Linked DNA regions of Macaca fascicularis. The protein of the gene in region 1 interacts with the protein of each later gene in a pairwise test. Links are inferred from orthologs where the notes say so. Each region holds a gene or a part of one and is shown on either strand. Other genes may lie near its edges. The genes, in order: SETDB2 and ARL14EP.

What was found.
Region 2: the proteins of SETDB2 (region 1) and ARL14EP interact in binary tests that used the Homo sapiens proteins (3 or more experiments, as listed by UniProt). The two-hybrid records come from large-scale screens. The link is inferred for Macaca fascicularis from reciprocal best matches to the Homo sapiens genes SETDB2 and ARL14EP.

Annotation. Positions count from the first base shown.
Region 1 is NC_088391.1:28,603,650-28,608,249, forward strand, and holds the start of SETDB2 (histone-lysine N-methyltransferase SETDB2), read left to right. Parts: upstream 1-1,614; 5' UTR 1,615-1,642; intron 1,643-1,664; exon of another isoform or gene 1,665-2,125; 5' UTR 2,126-2,255; intron 2,256-4,600. UniProt on the Homo sapiens protein: Histone methyltransferase involved in left-right axis specification in early development and mitosis. Specifically trimethylates 'Lys-9' of histone H3 (H3K9me3).
Region 2 is NC_088388.1:35,223,525-35,227,343, reverse strand, and holds part of ARL14EP (ARL14 effector protein), read left to right. Parts: intron 1-1,396; 5' UTR 1,397-1,461; coding exon 1,462-1,887; intron 1,888-3,295; coding exon 3,296-3,423; intron 3,424-3,819.

The DNA.
Region 1 (4,600 bases):
CCCATCTCTACTAAAAATACAAAAATTAGCTGGGCAGGGTGGCTGGTGTCTGTAGTCCCAGCTACTCAAGAGGTTGAAGCAGGAGAATCGCTTGAACCAGGGAGGGAGAGGTTGCAGTGAGCCAAGATTGCACCATTACACTTTGCACTCCAGCCTGGGCGACAAAAACAAACAAACAAATATCAATTATTTTGCTGTTTGTTTTGTTGTTTGGTATTCCTGATGGGAGATGTCTTTACCATGTATTGTTGATTCGGTTGTTCATCAGTTAATGCTGAATAACTGAAATCTAAGCTCAAGGCAATAATATATTGGCTTTCTTTTCATGCAAGTCAAACTGCTAAAATCTACCACAAAATATTAGCCTTTCATCAGCTTGCTCTTCAGATCCAACACATTTTCCCCTCAAATGAAAGACAATGCATGCCGTCCATTACAATGCTAAAAAAAAAAAAAAAAAAAAAAAAAAAAGGGAGGAAGGAAAACGAGGTTAAGTCCTGTCTTCTTCCTCCCACCCAGAAAGAGCTCAGAAATTAAGGTGCTTTCCCTAACAAAGCTTCCTCCTGCTCCATGAAGTGACCAAGCACGTCATGGCAGACCCAGAGATTTATAATATATCGTTATCGCGGAAATCAAGATTTGACAAAATTCTTCCTTCACGTCCCGTTTCCGCCAAGACCACCACTTTCTAGCTTAAAATGAAGGGAAAAAAAAAAAAAAAAAAAAAGACAGCTGTAGGAATGCTTGAATGCCCGCTAAAGAACAATCTTGCCCAAACGCAAAACTTGACCCCCACTATTACCAAAGGATGGTCTCAAAGAGTAACCCTCGCGAAGAGCAAACAGTTTAGCAGCCGCTCCCTCGAAAATGACGGAAGAGGAGGTCTCTTTTGAACCTGAGAATAGTAGTGAGGCACTCCCCTTCCATTACTAGCTTTGCTTCTTTCTCAATCAGGCAGTTCATCAGCTAGCCTCCTTTGTCAAAGGGGGTTGATGGCCAGAATCTTTGTGAGACAAAGATTACTAAAGAGCTCCCCGGAACCAAGGCGTGAATGTTAAGGCATCAAAGACACCGCCCAGCCCCCACAACGACCAACAAACCAAAACCTGGGATCCCTACTATTACCACCACCACAACCACCACCACAACTACCACCACCACCACTCCTCGCTCTCTCTAGCCAGGGATGAGACTCAGGCCCAGGAAGGAAACCCATCCTCTCCGCAAGTGAGAAGGCGCTGGGTCTCCTCCCTTAGGCCTCTCCTCTACCCCAGTGTTCTCTCTGGACCCCTCCACTACGGCGAGACGCTATATAAGTTTTCAACCCCCAAGAAGCCCAGTCCCAGCCACACACAAGATGGCAGCCCCACACCTACCGGAGGAAACAGCTGCGCCACCACTCCAGTGATGCCGGCCTCTCGACTACGAGTAACTCCATTGGCCCAGCGAGAGAGCGCGAGACAAGCCGAGAGCGCTAGCAGCCAATCGAGAGGCGGCGCGCTCGGGCGCCACTGCGGTGCCAGCGGTAAGCGCGCCGAGTCTCTGAGGCGTGAACCAGTAGGGAGTGCGACCAATCAATGGGCTCCAGGCTGGGTGGTGGGACGGCCGGCGTCCGACTCCTCCCATGTAGTGATCGCTTTAGGTGGGTCGGCCTGGTCCCCGGCGGAGGTTCCGCCGTGCCTTATCCCGGGTGGAGGCGAGGCGGGACTGTTGTGGTTGAGATGAAGGCTAGTAAATGGTGAAGTACTTCCCGGCCAGAGGGCACCTGCGCTCGGGAGGTCTGGGCGGCTTGGCGTCAGAGGAGAGTCCCACCCGCGGAGGAACCCAGCCTCGCCAACGGAGCTGGCAGAGATCACTCCCCAGGTCAGGCGGGCAGCGTAGAAAACGCAGTGGAGCCAGGTGAAACCGAGGCACCGCGGTGGGTGACCCCCGACAGTTCCTCTAGCCGGGCGGTTCGGAGGACCTGACAACGCCGCGGAGCCCTCGGCCGCCCGAACAGGGACTGGACCCTAGCCCTTGCAGCCTCCCTTCTCCTGGCACCCAAGTACAGTCCTGGCTGCAGAAGGGGCCGCGGGCGCATTGAATTCTCAACCTCCATTTCATTCAGCCTGTCTGTCTGTCTCAGGGTGCAGCCTTTATGAGGTGATTCCTAAGCTGCTGGGAACGTGAGGCTGTCAAAGGGGCGGCAGGAAATGGACAGCAGTATAAAACCCAGAAGCAGAACTTGAAGGTTTAACCACTAGCCCATTTCACAGGTAAGATTACACGAGCCCTTAAATACAGCAAGTTCAGTCATTCATCCAAGATAACTGAGTTCAGATTAGATAGTAACACTTCTAACTCGCTATCAGCCGCAGCCCAATAAGTAATTAAGTAAGGAAAGATATGTAACTAACTGTGCTCTTTGGCATGTGGAAAGCTGCAGTGAGCTCTGTAAATATTAACGCATGAGGCCAAAGAGAGGAGTAACTTTGAAAAGGTCAAATGGAGTAACCAAAGCATAGGCTCTGAAACCATGCTGCTTGGTTCCTTATTTTGTGTCTGCCACTTATGGTATGACATGCCTTAGCTTCCTCATCAGCAAACGAGCTGCCAATGTAACCCACATGACTGTTAGGGGGATTAAATAAGAACACGTGAAATACTTAGAAGCGTGACTAACCCGTGGTTCTGTCGTTATAATTAAAACGTAAGGAGCCGATAGGAAATGGTCAGTGTGTTTTTAAGGCCTATTTTTAGAAACGAAGAGGGACCATACATTGAAGCAAAGCAGACTGGCTTAGTTATTATGCCAAAATGAAAAAGAAGGGGAAAAAAGTTTTTTAAGCCCATTTACTCTCTGAAATATTAACACCAGTTGTCTCTGGATGATGGGATGGTGTTTAAATTTTCTCTTTCATACTTTATTGTATTTTGCAGATTTTCTCCAGGAAACATGTTTCACTTTTGCGCGTTCAGTTGTTTTCAAATTTTCAGGTGTGAACGCTGCTGAGAGCTGCTTAAAAACAAAGATACGGGCCGGCGCGGTTGCTCAGGCCTGTAATCCCCACACTTTGGGAGGTTGAGGCGGGCGGATCACCTCGGGTCAGGAGTTCAAGACCAGCCTGGCCAACATGGTGAAACCCCGTCTCTACTAAAAATACAAAAATTAGCCAGGCGTGTGGTGGCGGGCCCGTGTAATCCCAGCTACTCGGGAGGCTGAGGCAGGAGAATCGATTGAACCCGGGAGGCGGAGGCTGCATTGAGATCACGTCACTGCACCCCAGCCTGGGTGACAGAGCGAGACTCCGTCTCAAAAAAAACAAAGCTATGGCCATGCACGGTGGCTCACATCTGTAATCCCATCACTTTGGGAGGCCGGCGGGGCAGATCGCTTGAGTCCAGAATTCAGGACCAACCTGGGCAATATAATGAGACCTCATGTCTAAAAAAAAAGTAAAATAAAACTATTACTGAATGTGCTTAAGTGGAAGTATAAATTGGTAGAACCTTTCTGGAAGAGAGTTTGACAATATGCTATAAAAAGCTTTAAAATGAACAATTCCTTTTTGAACATTTATATATACTTAATTTTTAAAAATTAAGTACACTTTTATTACAAAATTGATACCTTGTAGATAAAGAGCACAATCCAGATTTTGACCTTGAGTTTTTTCTTGCCTGTCAAGGTTATATTTATCTCGTAGAAACAGTTGAGTAGCTTCCCGTATTTTTCCTGCTTGGAAGTTCCTATATAATAAAAATTCTCTGTTCTTTGAAAGTTTTGTAGAAGGAATGTTCCCTCACTCCTCTCCCTCCCTACTCCTGCTGGAGACTTTGGTACAGAGCTGTCAAGTGTTTTTTAATACTTACACCTTTTAATACTGTTACATATTCTATATAGGTGAATATATACGTTTGTATTTTTTTAGTGGAAAAATACCATACTACATCATTCTGTAGCTTTATTTCTTGACATTGGTTTTGCAGTCTGTACATGTTATTTATAGGTCATTATGTTATTTATGGATCGTTTCTTTTAGCTGCTGCATAGTGTATGACTCAATTGATCTGTTAATATAAAATATTTCTCTTTGTCTCTTTTACTGGTCTTTTTGTTAAATCCTATTTTGTTTGATGTGTGCTGTATAGCACATTTTATTGCCATTCTCTTGAGAACATTAGGTTTCCAGTTTTTTGCCATACAACAATGCTGCAAGGAAAATCTTTGTGTTTTCTTGTGCACATGTACTATTTGTTAAGGATATTATACGTAAAAGTGGAATTGCTTGGTTTTAAGCTGTGAGCTTTTTTAGTTTTAATAGGTCTTGCTAAATTTCCTCCAAAATACCTGTACTAAATTACACGTTCCACAGGTAGTTTATGAGAGTTAAGTTTGTCTACAGTTTCCTCCCACAAGAAGTATTTTCTGTTGGGTGCAGGGTTCTATACATTTTTTGGATTAAGCTTGTTAATTGTCATTTAAATCCTTTATACCCTGATTTTTTGCCCACTTTATCTGTCAGTTTCTTGATTTGTTACTTTCTTATCAAATTGTGGATATGTGCATTTTCCTTTTATTTAAATTTTGCTCTATATATTTCAGAGTGATGTTATTTGT
Region 2 (3,819 bases), on another chromosome or scaffold:
CCAAGGTATATGCTTCCTCAGTTTTACAAGAAATTGCAGAAAAGGTTCTAAAGCAGTTGCAGCAATTTACATTCCTACCAAAGTTATTATAAGGAGCATGTAAGGGTTGGACACATCTTAACCAGATATCAGATTTTTAAATTGATTTCAAGCAAATGTTTAAGAAATGATACTTAATTTGCATTTTCCTAGGAACTATGAGGGAAACAGTTTGTATGCTGTTCTCTTTCTCTGTGAATTGCCTAACTATATTTGTTTAGTTTTCCAATGGACTCTGTCATTTTCTAATTGATTTTTTAAAGTGAGGGGTTACTCGAATATTTACAATAATAATCCTAACAACACCTTTCAAGTGTCATTTTTTTCTCCTTTAGTTATACAGAAATGTGTAAATTTTACATATAATCAAATGTATCCATCTTTTTATTTTTTTTGGTACCTGCTTGCTTGTTTGAATAATTCTTCCCTACTCCCATGTCAGAAAATCTTCTTTATTTTCTCATAAAATGTTTAGTTTTTCTTTTCATGTTTAATTCTTTAATCCACCTGTAATTGATTTTTGTTTGTGCAGAAGAGATCTAATCCTTTTTCCATATGGTTAACTGGTTAAAGTCCCTTCTTCATTAGTGTGTGATACCCATTGATTAATAGTACCACATGTCATATACCAAGCCCTCTTCTACTCATGGATCTGTTTGTTTATACTATACCAATACCATAGTTTCAATTAGAATAGGTTTATAGTAAATCAATATGTTACTGTATTTTCCTTCATGATTACCTTGGCTTTCTTAGACCTTTACTCTTTGATATAGGCCAGCTTGCTAAATTCCAGTGGGGTGGGAGTAGAATATCTGATGGAACTTTGATTGGAATAAAACTGAATTTACAGATGTATTCCTGGATAATTGACAGATTTTTTATAATGAGGCACTCCATGATATATAGCTGCATTTATTTAGGGTACCTTTTTTGTCTTTCAGTTTGATAATTTTCTCCATGAAGGACTTGTTACATATTTTTTGTAAGAGTCACATATTTTGTAAGATACAGTGTTTTTCGGTTTCTAGCATCCCTGGTGAATTCTCTTATTAGTTCTAATGGTTTGTTAAACCTCTTGTATTTCTCATGTATCTTTGGATAATATTTCTTATTTCCTCCTTTTTAATTCTTATATAGTCTTAAATATAATCTGTAATTGCAGGTGTTCTCGCCAAGTTCTGACTTTTCAGGGAATGCTTCTGTTTGATTATTAAATGTCTATTATAGGACTTTGGTAAATACCTTTTTTATTCCTTATTTTCTTTTAGACAGGTGTTGAATTTTATCAAATACATTTTCAGTTTCCTAGATAAACTTGCAGCACAAATTTGATTCTCTTTAATATTTTCTCTAGGGTGATCAGCCCATGACCTAGACCTCTAGACAAAATAAAACAGGGAAAATTTGCTAGAATCAAGAATGATGGATCCATGTTCAGTTGGAGTCCAGCTTCGTACTACAAATGAGTGCCATAAAACCTACTATACTCGTCACACAGGTTTTAAGACTTTGCAAGAATTGTCATCAAATGATATGCTTTTACTTCAACTTAGAACTGGAATGACACTTTCTGGGAACAATACAATTTGCTTTCATCATGTAAAAATTTACATTGACAGATTTGAGGATTTACAGAAGTCGTGTTGTGACCCATTTAACATACACAAAAAATTAGCCAAAAAAAATTTGCATGTAATTGACTTAGATGATGCCACTTTTCTGAGTGCAAAATTCGGAAGACAGCTTGTACCTGGTTGGAAGCTTTGTCCAAAATGCACACAGATAATCAATGGAAGTGTGGATGTTGATACTGAAGACCGCCAGAAAAGGAAACCTGAGTCAGATGTATGTATAATATTCATTTTTTTCTATGTGAATTCTACCATGTAGGATTTTGCTTAACTATAAGAAAATCATATTTACAGTATTACTATATTTGCTAGGATACAGTGAATTAAAAGGAGGGGGTGAAAGTGGATGATGTGTCTAAATATTATTCACATACACTGAAGGTCAAGACTGGGGGATAAAGAAAGTAGGCTTGGGAAAGGAATAATAAAATATGCCTGAGACTCCAAGCTACAACTTTTAGTACGAAGACTTTAGGAGTGGGTTTCAGAACATTCCGGCCAAGCCAAAATTTTGTTTCTTTTCTGATACCAAAGTGACTACATGGGACATAGCAAACAGCAAGTGTCTTTGAAGCAGGATGAATTTGCCTTTATATGAAGGACCTGGAAATCACCGCTTTAAAAGGAACATTAGAGAGATGACTTATAGTAATTGTTTTTTATTTCACTCTTTCTTTCTCCTTTGACACTATCCCATTCTTGAGTTTTTTAAATGCTTGTGAGTTTTCTTTGCTTCTAGCTCTGAATTCCTACTTGGTATGGTCAAGGCTGATTTTAGGACTCGTCGTGGTAAAAAAATAATAATAATAAATTTTTACATTGTAAAGTATTAAATATTTTTCCTCTATTCCTTATTGACATGCCTACATGCATATTTAACCGTATCAGAACAACTTAAGATTTCGTAAAGCTATCTTTTGTGTAGGACAAGCATGCCAAGGAAGCACTTCTCATAATTTTTACTTGTAATTATTTCATAATTCTTACCTCTGGAATATTTTTCTCCTTTTTATTAAACCAAGTTAAAAGATAGTTGAAATTTGAAATTATACTATTTTCCTGTTGTTCTCTTCTGAGAGGAACATCTTGAGGGCCCAGTTTATCTGCAGTTCATACTAGATACTTGCTGATGATGTCACTGTGGATGTCTTCACCTTATCTATCCAATGTTCTTGTAGAATATATCAGCTGCAGCTCTTTCCTCCCCAAATAACAAACATAAACCCTTAAACAACAAGAAATCCTTAAGGACCCAGGATTGTTAGGAAATCAGTTATGTGCCACTGGATTATACAGCAGTTTTTGTGCCTTCTTGCCTGTGTTGGCAGCAGCCATTAGCGGTTTTCACAATGCCTTCCTCCTCTGCTCCTAATATACCAGAGACTAAAATCAAATAATGAAAATGTTACTAATACATTAACCAATACACTTTGAATATGATCTAGGGCCGTGTAAACTTTCTTGCACTTAGGCTCTAAAACCTAAGTGCAAGAAAACCTTGTTTTCTTTTTTGTATGTTCCAGACTGCCTTCCAGGTTAGGAAGTCATCTGGTTTAACATTAAATGAAATGTTATTGTCTGATGTCTAGATTTGAGTTGATAATTTGTTTACCTTTCTTCAGGGAAGAACTGCTAAAGCTTTGAGGTCACTACAATTTACAAATCCAGGAAGGCAAACTGAATTTGCTCCGGAAACTGGTAAAAGAGAAAAAAGAAGGCTTACAAAAAATGCAACCGCTGGTTCAGACAGGTAGGCTAAGTGTTATTGAAGACATGTTAACTTGCTGCTTCACATCTGCATTGTTCCCCTATTTTTCTCTTAAATTTTGAATTTTCTGGGTTCATATTTTAAATTGGATAATATGGAATTAGTAAAAACCTATGAAGGCCTTTGTTTTTACTCATATAAAATTAAGGTATCCCTTTCAATTCCAAAAATTTGTTTCTAAGAAGGTAGCAGTGAACTGAAGCAAATCATTTTGGCATGAGAGTTAAAATAATTACAATTAAAGTAATTCACTTATTTGAAAAGCATTGGTGTATATGTACGGACATACCTCCTTTTATTGGTGCTTCACTTTATTCTCTACAAAGTGCTATTTTTTTTTTTTTTTTTTTTTTTTTTTACAAATTGAAAGTGTGGCAA